Linked DNA regions of Anolis sagrei. The protein of the gene in region 1 interacts with the protein of each later gene in a pairwise test. Links are inferred from orthologs where the notes say so. Each region holds a gene or a part of one and is shown on either strand. Other genes may lie near its edges.

Evidence for each region.
Region 2: the proteins of TCAP (region 1) and TRIM55 interact in a two-hybrid assay, tested with the Homo sapiens proteins (2 studies listed by BioGRID and IntAct). The link is inferred for Anolis sagrei from reciprocal best matches to the Homo sapiens genes TCAP and TRIM55.

What each region holds. Positions count from the first base shown.
Region 1 is NC_090026.1:42,861,527-42,869,922, reverse strand, and holds the start of TCAP (telethonin), read right to left. Parts: upstream 3,452-8,396; 5' UTR 3,382-3,451; coding exon 3,233-3,381; intron 802-3,232; coding exon 414-801; 3' UTR 1-413. UniProt on the Homo sapiens protein: Muscle assembly regulating factor. Mediates the antiparallel assembly of titin (TTN) molecules at the sarcomeric Z-disk.
Region 2 is NC_090024.1:45,673,091-45,681,323, forward strand, and holds the start of TRIM55 (tripartite motif-containing protein 55), read right to left. Parts: upstream 3,199-8,233; 5' UTR 3,053-3,198; coding exon 2,885-3,052; intron 1,650-2,884; coding exon of another isoform or gene 1,645-1,649; coding exon 1,472-1,644; intron 1-1,471. UniProt on the Homo sapiens protein: E3 ubiquitin ligase that plays an important role in regulating cardiac development and contractility, muscle growth, metabolism, and fiber-type differentiation.

The DNA.
Region 1 (8,396 bases):
CTCTCCCTACTCTCTCGAGTGTTCAAAAGTACACAGTAAAGAAAGTGCATAATACAGTACATCTATTTGGTTAAACACAGCCAGAGCTTGGAAAATTCACTTTTTTTGGATTACAACATCCAGAATTTCCTCAGCCAGCATGCTAGCTGGGGGATTCTGGGAGGTGTAGTCTCCAAAAGTCAAGGTTTTGGGGCTGTGAAACACACACACATGGATGCAATCACAGTCTTTGCTCCTTCCCAAAGGAGTTTATCTCGATGGAGTCAGTTCTAGCAAGTCTTTTCTATCTATCTGGGCCCCTTGAGATGGTCCTCATGCAGCAACAGACACAGAGGCCCGAAGAATCCAAGCCAGTTCCTGAAAAGGAACCATTCGGGGGGGTTTTCGGGAGGAGGGAAGATGTCCCATAAGCCTCAGCCTCTCTGGGCCTCTTGAGACATGGAGCGGGACAATGAGCGAGGCAGGCCAGCTTTCTTGAAGTCGGGGCAGGCGGGTTGGACAACGGGAGGCAATTCCTTGGTGATCTCCGCCAGAGGTTTCTTGTCAAGACACACGCCTGTCACTGGCAGTGACTCCACAGACTCAGAGGGAGTGGGCGTGTATTCCCTGGCACTCAACTTGGTGGGGGTGAAGAGGGGCAAGGGCAACGCCCGCTGATATGGCAGGTGATAGGAGGTCAGGGGTTCACCCAGCAGACCCAGGCGGAGGATACCCCAGGGTGACCGCTGCACTATGACTCGAGCTTCCTGTTGCTGGCGGTAGGTCTCTTTGCGCCTCTTGTCCACTTCAAACCGATTCCAGCTGTGGAGAAGAGAGAAAGAATCAATATTAGGTTCACATCCACAAGATCTCCCAACAGTACAGAATTTCCCAAAAATTGAATTTCCTGTGCTTATGGTTAATGGTGAGAATTGGAGTAACTGTGTTTCCTCCCAATAATGACAACCTACTCAGAAAACCAAAAGGGAGTTGTGAAAACCTCTCCAAAGTGGGTGAACTGGGCAAGATTCAATGAAATGCTTCTTCACGCATCACATAGCTAGGCTATAGCAGGCATGAGCAAACTCCAACCCTCCAGGTATTTTGGACTTCAACTCCTACAATTCCTAACAACCAGTAGGCTGGGTTGTTGTAGTTTTTTTCGGGCTATATGGCCATGTTCTAGAGGCATTCTCTCCTGACGTTTCGCCTGCATCTATGGCAAGCATCCTCAGAGGTAGTAAGATGCTTGCCATAGATGCAGGCGAAATGTCGGGAGAGAATGCCTCTAGAACATGGCCATATAGCCTGAAAAAACCTACAACAACCCAGTGATTCCGGCCATGAAAGCCTTCGACAATAAACCAGTAGGCTGTTAGGAATTGTGGGAGTTGACGTCCAAAATATCTGGAGGACCAAAGTTTAGCCATGCCTGAGTTCACTACCACAAAATATGGTGATGGCCAACTATTATCAGAGGTTGGAAACTTGTGGGTTTCCAGATATTGGTAAACTTCTACTATCATACTTCATTGTTATCCTGATTGGTTAATGTTGATGGGACTTGGGTGTTCCATAGGATCTAGAAAACCACAGATTACCCAGCACTGATTTAACTGAGTTTAAATGTAAATAAGATTAATGGGAATAAAGCAATCAATGCCTACTAGTCAAGGACGCTATGTGCCACCCCATGCCTCTAATGTCATTGGCTGGAGGACATGAATAGGAGGGGGTATGTCACTCTGTGCCCCTTTTGGTTGGGCTTTGATGAGGATCTGGTTGCCCGATTGTAGAAAAGATGGCACTAAACTAGAAAGAATCCACCAACTATGGACAAAGTCTTTCTCAAACTGTGTTCCTTCAGGTGTTTTGGACTTCAGCTCCCAGAAATCCTAGCCAGATTACCAGCTGTTAAGAATTGTGGGAGCTGAAGTCCAAAACATCTGGAGGAGCACAGTTTGAGAAACTCTGAAGTAGAGGAGAGGAGACAGCTATCCTCCAGGTGCTTTGTTTGTGAGCTCCCCAGAAGAATTTGCTTGGCCCTTTCTTGAGGCAGAAAGCATGTGCAGCTGGATCTAAACTCTTGGTCAGAAAGGCTAGCTAAGCGTTCTAGTATGAAAAGTAATTTTCTCAGCCTCTGGTCTGAATCAGTAATGCAAATTCATAATCTTGTTCATCACTTGTATGCATTGCGCACTTTTTTTTCAACTCACTCCATCCATTTAAACAGTGCTGGATTGCTGGTGGTCTGACTCAATGGCCATTGTCTCTCAACCTTACTATTTTTCATCCCCCCCTTTAGCACTTTCTTTATTTCCTCTTTTGTCAAAATATAGGCTGTAAGATCCACATGTAATGGCGTGTTGTTGCTCCTTGATACAATACTATTGTCATTTAATCTGATGTTCTATATTATATTAACTGATCCTGTTAATTTACTCTGTTTCCATGATTTTTCCTATGCCATTATACATTGTCATCTACCTTACTAAACCACTTTATCCTTTAATTAGCTCACGTAGTGGTTTTCCTCCCCCCCTCCAAAATTAGTCTCCTGTTATTGTCGTTGCTAGTTATTTTTGTTATGTTGTTTTATGTTGTTTTTATGCTGTTTTAATTGTTATTGCTTTGTTTTAATTGTATTCTGCCTGGGCTTGGCCCCATGTAAGCCTCCCCAAGTCCCTTCAGGGAGATGGAGGCGGGGTAGAAAAATAAAGTTCTTCTTCTACTACTACTACTACTACTACTATTACTATTACTACTACTACTACGGATGGAATAATGGCTATATACACCCTGATGATAATAACTGATGCAGACCATTTACAGCACTGTAGCAAAACTCATGCCAACCCAAAATAACGTTGCTATGGAGTAGCCTCTTCATCCTGGTGACCTCCCCCCCCCCCCCCCCCAAGATGTATTATGGCTGAGTTGGCTGGGGTTGGTGGGAGTTGTAGTCTAACACATCTGGAGGACAACAGCTTGGAGAAGTCTACTTTGAGCCATGGCAAAGAGAAATATTTCTGAGATATCAGGTCCCTAATGCCTACCTTTTTCTCACTTCTTATTGAACCCAGTTTAGACCCAAGTCTAAACGATTAGATGGATCTACCAAAACTTTGCCTCGTTTCATAGTCTTCTTTCGAGAATCCCAAACCTATCAGTAATTTTGTGACCATTTTATTATGACCACTTTGACCAAGCCTGACCCAAACCTTGCCTAACCCGAGATCATCAAAAGACTCACCCTTCTTCAGGACGAGTGGTGAGAGATAGGTCTTTCCATTCAGCGGAGAAGGATTCTTTCCGTGCCGTGTTCCTCTCAGACACCTGGCAAGCCAGTTCAGCTGCGGACAGTGTCCCAGAGCTTCTCAGGACCACACTCTTGCCGTGCATTGTTGCGTCTGTGTCTCTTCTTCGGCTGGGATGTGAATGTAAAGCCTCAGTTCTGCCTGGGCTATTGTCCCAGCCACGGGTGACTTATATAGTTTTCCGAGTGCCCATTCCCGAGGGATTGGCGTCTGGAGCTAAACTAGGCATGCTGAGTCACTGGTGGAGCATTCTGACACTGGATACGACTCTGATCCCCCTCCCTCTTTTTGCCTCCTCGGGTTGTATGTGTTATTGGAAACCACATTTGTGATGCTATAATATGTTATGTTCATTTAACCCTCCTCTTCCTGGTGAGAACTGCTGTCAACAGGCTGTTTAAATGACTGAGTGTGAAAGATCAAAAGGGTCTGACTTCTGCCACAGTGTTTTGGTGAAAGATTTTACATCAAATACTTTTCATTTAAAGTGGACTCCCTGAAGTTGAGATATAGTCGGTTTGCTTTTGGATCTCTTGTCTGTGACAACAGGCGAATCATAAGGATATGTGTGCATTTGTGATCATGTGCAGATGACATATATTTCCTTTTCATTAAGGATAATGAAATTTCATCCAATGTTTCAACTGCTTTAGACTTTGGGATCTCTGCAATTATTTGGGATTGATCACAATACCACAATTGAAGAGAGATATTGACAAGCTGGAATGTGTCCAGAGGAGGGCGACTAAAATGATCAAGAGTCTGGAGAACAAGACCTATGAGGAGTGGCTTAAAGAGCTTGGCATGTTTAGTCTGCAGAAGAGAAGGCTGAGAGGAGACATGGTAGCCATGTATAAATATGTGAGAGGAAATCATAGGGAGGAGGGAGCAAGCTTGTTTTATGCTGCCCTGGAGACTAGGATGTGGAAGAATGGCTTCTGAATTGAAATCTTAATCAATGTTGAATTCATGGTTATATTGAGATAGAATCATAGAGTTGGAAGAGACCTCATGGGCCATCCAATCCAACCAGGCCCGTAGCCAGGATTTCGTTTCGGGGGGGGGGGGGGCTGAATTTTTTTTCAGGGGGGGTTTCAGGGGGGCTGAGTTTCGGGGGGGGGGGGGGCTGAGTCTGAGTGAAAGAGGTTCTACCCTAGCAAACCTTTTGTATCATTACCCCAATACCCCCATGCATATGGGATATATTGAGTATGGTGATCAGATCATGATATGAATAAACATAACAGTTTAAATAATGCACCAATAAGGCCTTTTCGCGAACCACCATGAAAATTTGGGGGGGGGGGGCTGAAGCCCCCCGAGCCTCCCCCCCCCCCCCCGGCTACATGCCTGAAATCCAACCCCCTGGCAGGAAGCAGGAAAATTACATTCAAAATATTCCCAAAAGATGGCCATCCAGCCTCTGTTTTAAAGTCTCCAAAGAACAAGCCTCCAGGAACTACAGGAAAGGAGATTCCATCTGAACATTAGGAAGAACTTCCCGACTGTGAGAGCTGTTCAGCAGTGGAACTCTCTGCCCTGGAGTGTGGTGGAGGCTCCTTCTTTGGAAACTTTTTAACAGAGACTGGATGGCCATCTGTCAGGGGTACTTTGAATGTAATTTTCCTTCTTCTTGGCAGGGAGTTGGACTGGATGGCCGATGAGGTTTCTTCCAAGTCTATGATTCTGTCTCAATAGAACCATGGATTCAACATTAAGATTTCAATTCAGAAGTCAGTTAATCAGAAAGGATTCAGCATCCAAATTTAGAGGTTTTCACCTTTACCGGCACTGAATCAAGCCATGAAGTCAAGCTCATGCTGAGACTCAGCAGAACTTATGAGCCAGCGAGTGTGCAATTCAGAAAGGCATTTGGTGATGGATAGAAAGGTTGAGAGATTACTTGATGGGAGTGCCCTGTGCTGAGCCGGCACAGCTGTGTGACGTGTCTGCAACATGAAGTCACTGGAAAGAAGATCTTTCCATCCAGTCACTCACCCACCCCCTCAGGTTTCAGGACCATCATGCCAGCCCTTCTGCATGATCACTTATACATACACACAAACACATATACCCAGAACCAGCCTCATAGACTCCTTCCCCACCCTTAGGGAAATACAATGTCAAAGGTCTGGCCTTACAGGGAGAGAATGTCCTGTAAAGAGGGGAACTAGGGACAGGCTAAAACAACATGGGTTGTTGACTAGGCAAAGGGCCACTAGGGAGAGAGGGGAGTCAAAGATCTGTGGGCAGGACTAGGCAGGATTCTTGCAACACGTGGAAGCCCCACACTCCAGAAGGATGATGCCAGAAGTGGGAAGCAGGGAAGAGAGGGAGGATACAAAGAAGTGAGGTAGAGATTCAGAGACAGCCTGGGCTTAATCCCATCATAGAAGCTCCCTGAGATGACCTTGGACTTAGATGCCCTCACTCAACATCACCTGGTATACTGGATTGTTGGGTGCATAAGATATCAGATATGTGCCCACCATGTATGCCTCCTCAAACTCATTGAAGTACAGAGGAAATGTGATAAAGAAATAAAGCTTTGTTTGTTTGTTTATTTATTTATGACATTTATATGCCGCCCTTCTTACCCCAAAGGGGACTCAGAGCAGCTTACAAGATATATATATATATATATATATATATATATATATATATATATATACACACACACACACACACACACACACACAATATATTATATTATTAGCATAGTACAATATCAGTATTAAATATTACTATATTGTACTATACCATTATATTGTAATATTATTAGTAATATTACATGTAATATAAATATATCATTATAATATTATAATATTATTAGTATTATATTGCATTACATTATAATATTATAAATATTATATGTACATACAATATATTACATTACATTATATTATATTATGTTATTAGCATAGCACAGGAGACAAGGTGAACTGTTCCCTGGCCCCTTCTCTCTTCATTCTGGTCCGGAGCGGCAGTTGGTACTGGCGGGGAAGGGTCCCCAAATGATGACATATGCAGGAGATAAGATGGGACTATTCCCTGGCCCCCTCTCTCTTCACTCTGTTCCAGAGCAGCAATTGGTGCTGGCGGGGAGGGGTCCCCAACTGATGACATATGCAGGAGATAAGATGGAGCTGCCCCCTGGCCCCTTCTCTCTTCACTCTGGTCCAGAGTGGCAATTGGTGCTGGGTGGAGTGGTCCCAGCTGATGATGTATCCCCTTTATGTTTATGTAATTTAAGGGAGAAATATTAGCATTTAAGAAACATAGGAAGCTTCCTTATGTCAATCGAGCCCACAGCAGTCTTATCATGGGTGGTTGAACATGGATCTGGGGATTTCATCACAAAGAGCTGGAGGAAATGAGGGAAAGTGGGGGAATGGGTAGAGTTTCGTGGAGTTCTGTTTTAAAAGAAGATGAAGAATTTATGAAGATGAAGAGGCGATCTAGGGCCCCTTCCACACAGCTGAATATAACCAAGAATATCAAGACAGAAAATCCCACATTATCTGCTTTGAACTGGATACATGGCAGTGTGGACTCAGATAATCCAGTTCAAAGCAGATATTGTGGGATTTTCTGTCTTGATATTCTAGGTTATATGGCTGTGTGGAAGGGCCCTAGATCACCTCCTCCAGCTTCTAACTGAACCACCCACTTAATTCCCATTACATGAGCAGATGATGACTCCTCTCATTTCAAGGATACCCTTTTAAAAAATAAGTATCCTTTAAGGCAGCACTGCCTTCAAGACCCTTCCACTGAAGCAGATTTAAGGCATTTTTCTTAAGGTGTCACTTTCCATGGGGTCGTTTGAACTCAAGACCCTTCTACTTAAACAGAAGCACCTTTCTTAAGACGGCACTTTCCTTGGGGGTTGATTGCACTGAGATGTCCTCCCATTATCCCTCCAGGATTTTGATTATTTGTCTTTTTATAAAACATCGCCCCGGATCTTAGGAAATTAAATTAACCCCTATCTTTCCCAGAGCCCTTGCACTGGTGATTGATCTTTCTCCAAGCCTCTGTATTGGCAATCTGGGGAAATAGGCATTTTGGCTCCTCCCACACACAACATCATTGTTATATTTACAAGCAGGCAACAAAAGCAGGACACGGGATTAACATCACAAAAGGAAGTTATTGTTAATATTGGATCATAACCTGTTAGGATCACTGACCATCGGGGTATAGATCATGAACTGATTACTAACAGTTTCTTCATAAACTGTGTTGCTTTATACAGCTCTATTTAGTAAAAAATTACTTTCAAATAAACACAAACTTCAACAGTTTCTAACTTTCTAACATGAGCTTCTGACAGATTTCTATACTCAAGCTCATTCAAGGCACAACACAATTCTCTAATAGTCATTCCTCAACCAACATTCCCTAACTGTCATCCTGTTTAAACTTGAACATTCTAAATTATCACCGAGTCAGTCACATGACCTGCAGCCCCTCCCACTGCTGTAGGTATATAGAGATAAGGAAACTGCAAATCAAAGAAGACATATACTTCAGGTTATAAAATGATACATTACAAAACAGACAAATATCATATAGAGGAGGCTTGAGAAGGTTGCTTCCTCCAACAGAACCTGGCCATTTTGCCTATAGGGAATTTAAAAATAAGTTGATTGCCAACCAGCTTAGGAATTGTTGGGAAAACCAACACTTTAGGAACAGCAAAAACCTCACCCTCACAGCTGAAACTTGCATTGTGTGAAGGGCAGCAATAGAAACATTGATTTTACTATGTGTGATGAAGTCATGGGTATTCAAGAATACACCACTCATAATCCTTTATCACTGGTAGTAGATACTGTAGATTCTGGGAGCTGAGATCCTAAGGAAGCTCCTCGTTTCTCACTTACATGCTGTACAATTATGAATTCCTTACTTTAACTGTTGTGGCTGCATCCTAAGGATTCCTGAGCTTTGTAGTCTGCTAAGACACCAGACCTTTCTTGATGAGAATTCTAAAAGCTTCTTCCTAAACTACATATCCCAGGACTTCATAGGCTTCATCTGTGGTGGTTAAAGTGGGTTCCACGTGCTATAATAACGGCATAGTGAGAGAATGCA
Region 2 (8,233 bases), on another chromosome or scaffold:
GTAATAAATATAGAACCTTGTGCAACAGCTACAAATGGATGATAAAACTTCTCATTAAAAAAAGGTAAAGCCAACCAGTTTTACTTCTTGTAAAACAAAGCGTAACTAATATCAGAAGTTCAACAATCAAGAATTATGCATGCGGCGTTCTGTGTGGTCCCTATCTACTTGTACATAATGAAGCCTGTTGATGATGATAACTATAGCCTTTTCCTTTTATATCTAGGTTAGTGTTTCTCAACCTGGGAGAGGAGGTGTCAGAAGGGTCACCAAAGACCATTGGAAAACGCAAATTTCTAATGGTCTTAGGAACCCCTTTGGCTGGGAAGGTTGAAGATCTCACTGCCTGTTTTTCTCTTCCTTTTTGGAAACAAATGGCTGTAGTGGCCGGTCTCTCAGCTAAGGGAAGTGCTGTTCCTGAGACTCCAAGCAGGGTGGGGAGAGCAGACATGCTTGGTACATGGCAGCGTAGTGCAGATGCATGGGCAAGAGAGAGCATGCAAGGGTGGAGGAAGGCTCGCACCAGCAAGTCCCTTCAAGGCAGGTGGGAAGCACCTGTGTGACGTGGGACTGAGAATGGCCCAGCAGCATCAGAGGAGCAGCAGAAACAGCTTCGGTAATTTGTAACGCTATTTAATAGGGAAAAAATCAGTCTTTTGTTTTTTATTAATGCTCCCATTAGAAAATGCATAATTGTTTGTGTCCGCAGTGCTCTATGGATGTAGATGACCTATAACTCCACAACCCAAAGTCAATGCGCACCAAACCTTTCCAGTATTTTCTGTTGGTCATGGGAGTTCTGGTGCCAAGTTTGGTTCAATTCCCTTGTTGTTGGAGTTCAGAATGCTTTTTGATTGCTCTTTGATTTCTGGTGAACTATACATCCCAGCAACTACAACTCCCAAATGACAAAATCAGTCATTTTTGTCAGTATTCAAATCTGGATGTATCAGCTATTTGTGCCAAATTTCTTCCAGTGAATGAAAATACATCCTGCATATCAGATATTTACATTACGATTCATAACAATAGCAAAATTACAGTTATGAAGTAGCAACGAAATTAATTTTATGGTTGGGGGTCACCATAAAATGAGAAACTGTATTAAGGGGTCACAGCATTAGGAAGGTTGAGAACCACTGATCTAGCTGTAGTTATACACTTTCATGCGACAGAGGAAAAAGGGGAGGGAGGAGGAAGAAGAGGGAGAGGAAAGTTGGGATGGGGAAAGAGGCACTGGGTTGCTATGAGTTTCTGGGCTGTATGGCCATGTGACTCTGGACATGAAAACCTTCGACAACAAAAAGAGGCAGTTCAGCAGTAGTTCAGTTCTACAATTCACGTTATTTGAATACCCTATAATTCTCTTTTTGAGGCCTTAAACTATCGTAATTTGTTTCCATGGGAAATGCAACCAATGTAGGAACTGCATCCACAGACATTCCTTCAAGGACAGAAATTGATCTATTACCTGGCAGATTCCTGCTTGTATATATCAATTATGTTTTCCACCAGCAGATTCCTCTGAAGGCCATAGACGCCATGTCTGTCTAGAACAACTTCGTGCCTGCATGACGGACAGCGGAATCGACCTCCTGAAGCCACAGTGGTGCCTCCTCTCATTGGCAGATACGGGTTTGAGGCCTGTTCTTGCCAAGGAGTAAAAAAGATTGTGGAGTCAAGCATGCATTCATTCACAGATATTTCCTGCAACTGCTTTCACTTCCATATTGTAAGATGCATGTCAGACTATCTGCTTAAGAAATGATCACATGCCTTTGTGTTACTCATTGCACTTTAATCACTGTTGGATAAGGCAGAGCTGTCAAAACATTTCATTTTGGTGACACACTTTTTAGACATGAATCATTTCGCGACACAGTAATTCAGTTTTACTGGACAAAGTTTTTAGTAAGGATTTATTAATGACATGTTTTATTGCTGCGGTTATGATTTTATGTATATTAATGTTTTTTAAATTGTACTTATGCTTTGTGGCACTGAGTTTTGTCATGTAAACCGCCTCAAGTCGCTTGAGGGCTGAGAGGAGCACAGTAAATAAATAAATAAATAAATAAATAAATAAATAAATAAATGAACCAGAAGTTAAACCAATCCCTTATAAGAGATTAAAACATACATCAATTGTAATAGTGAAATGCATGGTGACATGTCATCCCATGGAAACCTTTTATTTATATGTCTTCGATATATATTGTTACATTCATGCAAAACATCTACATATTGCAGTTTGGAAAGTCCTGGAATAAGATAATCAAAGATAAACTTACCTTAACCACCAAGGCATAGTCCAAAATGCTATCCAGTAAGTACAAAGGGTACATTGTTTCCATTTTGTTTATGGAAGGTTCGCACCAGCAAGTCCCTTTTGTTTAAGGATTCCAAGTTCATAAGGTAACAACTGGGTTGTTGTGAGTTTTCCAGGTAGTATGGACCTCACAACCTCTGCGGATGCTTGCCATAGATGCAGGCAAAACGTCAGGAGAGAATGCTTCTGGAACATGGCCATACAGCCTGGAAAACTCACAACATCCCAGTGATTCTGGCCATGAAAGCCTTCGACAATACAAAGTAACAACTTCTTGTAGAGATAAACTTTCCATTCTTAGAAGTATTGGGGAAGGACAGGAATGAGTTTATATTTTAATATCTCTACGTACATTAAATAATTATAATTCATTCTAGATCAATAGGGTGGGGAGCATTTCCACATGCAAAGGATCCAGAATCATACAGCAAATAACAAACAAGTGTCTTTTTTCTAATTCATTTTTTTTCTCATCTAGAGAAAACCCTTTTTATTAAACCACCACATCTGATTTTATAATCTGAAAGGTTAAATAATTCCAAAAGGTCAACTTACCTGGAAGATATCGCTGGCACATTTTCGACATAGGTTGTGCTGACAGGGGAGGATCACCACTGGCTTAGAAAACATCTCTAAACATATGGGACAAATAAGCTGTTTCTCTAAGTTATCCATAGTTTCTTGCTCTTTGGAGAAAGACTTGTAATTAAGAGAGGTGCTCATCTCCTAGAGAGTCTGAGGAACATAGGCTCAGAATCAGAATGCGGCCAATGGGTTTCCGGGTTAGGTCCCCTGAAAAAATTCCAATGCTTGTGAGATCAAATGTCCTTTGAGACTCTTTCCCTGGATGACATTGTTTTAATGGGTGGAAGGGAAAGCAGGGAGCTGGGCCTATTTTAGAAGCAGAGCGTCATTGGCTGCCATACTCACTCTCTCCATATATGCATCTGTCACAAGGACAGATTTAGACAGGTGACAGCTCACTGGGGTGAAAGAGCAACATTCTTGTGTCCAAGAGGAATGGGGGGGGGGAGCATAGGGGAGGAGGTGGAGAAATTCAACAGTTGCCGCTGACACATGCACCACTCACTCTTTTGGAAAAGTTGAAATATCATGTTGACCATAGAATACAGCCTGGTTGTTAATATCTTTACATCTCATTGTGGTAAGAAAAAGCAAGGAGCAATTCAATAAGCATACCCTAAATACTCATATATATGTCTAGAAATTTTAGTCAAAAAGTCAGCTCCAAAAATGGTGTCATCTTATCCATGGGTCAATGTAAGTACTGTATATTAATTTTTCAAAAAACTACCACCTACTTCTCTGAATAGAATGGTAAAAGTTAAGAGCTTGGTCCATCCCAGGAAAACCTTAAAGAAGCACTGACCTCTTCTACCCTCTACACTATGGTGCTGCTTCTGGACTTTTTGATTGCCTGCACGGGGAAAATGGTAGTGGCAGTCAAAGGCCCTTTAAGTCAGTCCTAGTGTTTTCTTTTCTCCATGGAATTATTCTCAACTTATCTACATGGGGGGTATCAAAATCCACAATTCTTGCCCTGAAAAATTATGCAGGAGGTTGGCTTATACTCGAATAGATATACGATAGAGTCTTGCTTATTCAACCTTCGCTCATCCTATGTGCTGTATTATTCAAAGCAGTCTGTCTCCACAGCTGTTTCAAAACATTGCAATGTTTTGGTGCTAAATTTGTAAATACAGTAATTACTACATAATGTTACCATGTATTGAACTGCTTTTTCTGTTGATGTTTTGGTGCTTAATTTGTAAAATCATAACATAATTTGATGTTTAATAGGCTTTTCTTTAATCCCTCCTTATTACCCAATATTTTTGCTTATCCAACATTCTGCCAGCCCATTAATGTTGGATAAGTGAGACTCTACTGTAGTACTACTACTTTCTAAAACTAAAGTGGGTCCAAAAGGCAATTTTCTGGTCCTGGAACCCACTCAAATAATGATGGATTGCCAAAGAACAAACCAAAAACACGCAGAAGTAACCAGACATTTGATTATGGCTTTGGGGGATCCCCACCCCCTCCCCCTGCAAAAAAACCCTGTTGAGATGTGTAAGAAAGGCCTTCAACTATTTAATATATGAACTTCTGAAGGCTTCTAGAAGAATAATCTCCCCCCCCCCCCTTTCATGTTTTTTAATCCAGGATGTCTGAAGAGGAAAAGGGCCATAGATGTGGTGCCAGGGGTTATTCAATATGACCTTGACAGATTGGAGATCTGGAGCAAAGCTAATAAAGTGAATCTCAGAAGGGTACTATATCTAGGAAGGAAAAATGTGTAAGATTAATGGGAGAAAAAAACAACACTTGTGAAAATGATCAAACAATTTTAGCAGATTATAACAAACATTATTCAATAGTATAATGCAGTGACTAAAACAAGCAAACAAACAATGGACTGTAGGCTGCATCAAAAGGAATGTAGCGATCAGATCAAGGGAAATAGTGGAGAAATACTTTTTCCAGTTCTGAATAACAGTTCAATAAGGACAAGCTGGAATATGTCCAGAGGAAAACTGCCAATATGGTAAAAGGTCTGCAAATCAAGTGCAATGAGAAATAATTTTGAGATCTAGGTATGTTGAGCCTGGAGCAGAGAAACTTAAGAGGTAATATGATAACCATCTTCAAATATATGGAAGGATGCCATGCAAAAGATGGAATGAACTTTCTTGTTGCTTTTCTAGAGCCTCAGATATGAACTATGGAGTTCAATTACAAGAGAAGATTAGAGATTCCACCTCAATATTAGGATGAACTTGTGTACTGTTCAATGGTAGAATAGATTGGCTTGAAGGATGGTGAACTCTCCTTTTCTGTGGTTTCTAAACATAGTTTGAATGGCTCTCTCTCAGGAATCCTTTAATTGGAATACTTTGTGGTTTCTATATGATTCTGTGTGCTTCCAGGGTTGGACTTTGCCTCTTATTAACCAATTAATTGCATATTTCTAATGTCCAGAACCTACTTTTCTCAAATGGTATATAAGGCTTCAAAAAGTCTCTATCTCTTTTGTAGAAAGAAGTAAGATGTGGAAACAAGTTCCACAATTAGTTGTGTGAACCAGTCTTAGTAGTGGCAGATGGTGTGGCAGATGGAAAGATGCTCCCTTTGTAGAATAGCACTGAGGCAGGAAGCCCCCTATGCTCTCACCAGTGCGCAGTGTGGTAAAATAGCATAAAAGGATGTGGCTCAGTTGGCTTTGTACTCACACATGGCTGACCAGCGGTGTCTATTGCTAGATAATGGTAAGCCAGAGGCCCCATCCTCCTCTTCTGCCTCAAAAAGCCAATTGGCAAATGTTTGCTTCTTTCTTCTCTTGATCTTCTTCCTGTCATGCTGTCACACCTGTAGATAGTGTTGCCATAGAGAAATCATACTTAGCTCTTCAATAATATTCTTCATAAATAAGCTTTCTCTGTAGTTTTTTAAAGGAACAGTTCCAATACACTTAAAAAGAAAAAAAAACCTTTCAGTGTTTTCTAAGTTCAAGTACTTTGGAAAAATAGCGAAGATGCACCATTTTTATTGGCTGAGCAGAGGTGATAATTCTGCCTGGGTTATACGCCCATAGTATAATCCCAATGATTAAGTTCCAGCACTGGGACACTGCTTTGTTTCTGTTTATTGGATGCATGGATCCCTCATAACTTGGCACTTGTTGCAAAGTTATTTTTAAAATGACAATTTCCCAGATCACGTCTGGCATGTGAGGCCTAATCTTAAAGCAAGCCATCTGTGCTGTTACTTGCCAATACTTTATCAGACAACTGTACAAGCAGTATGTATCATGTCTATGAGTTTAAGTGCAACATCTACTTTACTTACTGTAGCAGGCGGTTGTATTCGCATTCATCCTGTACATACCACTTGCACATTGGGTCCATTTTATTTGCTAATAAAATAGCTAGGATAGCTAGCTAGCTAGAGAGAGAGAGAGAGAGAGAGAGTAAGAATATACCTCTCTCTGCTTAGAGACAGCATGGTGAAAAGGCCTGTTCATTATACTAATAGAATTTGTTATTATCTGGCTATCAAGATACAAGGAAAGTTTAAATTTCAGCTCTAAACACAAGGAAGGAGTAACCTTCAAGGGGCAATCTATACTTACAACAAAGTCTATGGGTAATCTATACTTAAAACAAAGTCTGGGCCCAACCAAAGAGCACAGGCTTTATAACTAGTCTTAAAGCTACTTCAAGATCTCTTTTGCACACTGATCCAGACTACATTGCTTTGTCTTTGAATACTATGTGTACATACAATATATGCAAATACAAGTATTCCAAATCAGGAAAAATCCAAAATCCAAAACACTTCTGGTCGCAACCATTTTGGGTAAGGGATACAGCCGCTCTTATGAATTGTGGAAGTTGAAGTCCCATACACCTGGAGGGCAGAAGTTTGCTCATGCCTGGCTGTAGAATATGGACACATCCTCATCAACTCTGGCCTACAAGAAGCACTGCTTGACTATCAAGCAAAAAGTGAGTGCTAGAAACAATATTGTATGAAAGCTGAATAGCACAATCTGGGGAATCACAACCAAACACAGTGAAGACATCTGCCCTTGTGCTTTGCTACTCCGCTGCTGAGTACACATACCCAGCGTAGAACACATCTCACCATGCTAAAACAGTAGATATGGCTCTTAATAAGACATACCACATTATCACAGGATGTCTATGCCCCACACCATGATCAAGGGTCTGGAGAACAAGCCCTATGAGGAGTGGCTTAAAGAGTTGGGTATGTTTAGCCTGAAGAAGAAAAGGATGAGAGGAGACATGATAGCCATGTATAAATATGTGAGAGGAAGTCATAAGCTGTGATGAATGGTGGGAGTTAGACTCCAAACCACCTGCAGGGCCCAAGTTTGCCCATGCACTACTGCATAGTGGAAGTTCTTCCAAATGTTCAGGTGCTGTTTGATTCCATTGCTCTGGTTTGTCCTAGTGTCCAGAGCAGCAGAAAACAAGCTTGTCCCTTCCTCAAGAGGAGACATGCTAGCCATGTATAAATACGTGAGAGGAAGTCATAGAGAAGAGGGAGCAAACTTGTTTTCTGCTGCATTGGACACTAGAACGCGGAACAATGGCTTCAAACTACAAGAGAGGAGATTCCACCTGAACATGAGGAAGAACTTTCTGACTGTGAGAGCCCTTCAGCAGTGGAACTCTCTGCCAAGGAGTGTGGTGAAGGCTTCTTCTTTGGAATCTTTTAAATAGAAGCTGGATGGCCATCTGTTGGGAGTGCTTTGAATTTGATTTTCTTGCTTCTTGGCAGGGGGTTGGACTGGATGGCCCATGATGTCTCTTCCAACTGTATGATTCTACATTATAACTGTACCCTCAATTTGCTTCTGACTCTATAAATAAATAGTCTATTCTTTATTGTAGGGAAGGAACTGCAACCTCCAAACATGGATCTCTTGAGTAACTTTTTATATTGAATCACAGAGTTAAACTACTAAAGTCACAGTAATTTACAAAGCACAAGAGGGAAGCTATTTTCAATCAGAAACTGAAAGTGCAAGTTTGAAAAAAAAATCTCCTTCGAGCCGGAATCGAACCAGCGACCTAAGGATTCCTACAAGGGAAGTTCTCCTCTACAGTCCTCCGCTCTACCAGCTGAGCTATCGAAGGCACACGGCGGAGCTGCTCCCCTTGAGAGATCTAAGCCTCCGGAAGAGACAGGCACTGCCTCTATTGCCCCATGCTATATAGGTGCCTGAACAAAGGTGATAGTTTGGGTATCTGCCTCTCTTGCCAGGTTTGTTTTCATCCTTATATACACGGTGACAAAATCATAGTTTGGGTTTTGGAATTTTAAATATATATATTGGGTTTTCTTGGAGTATTT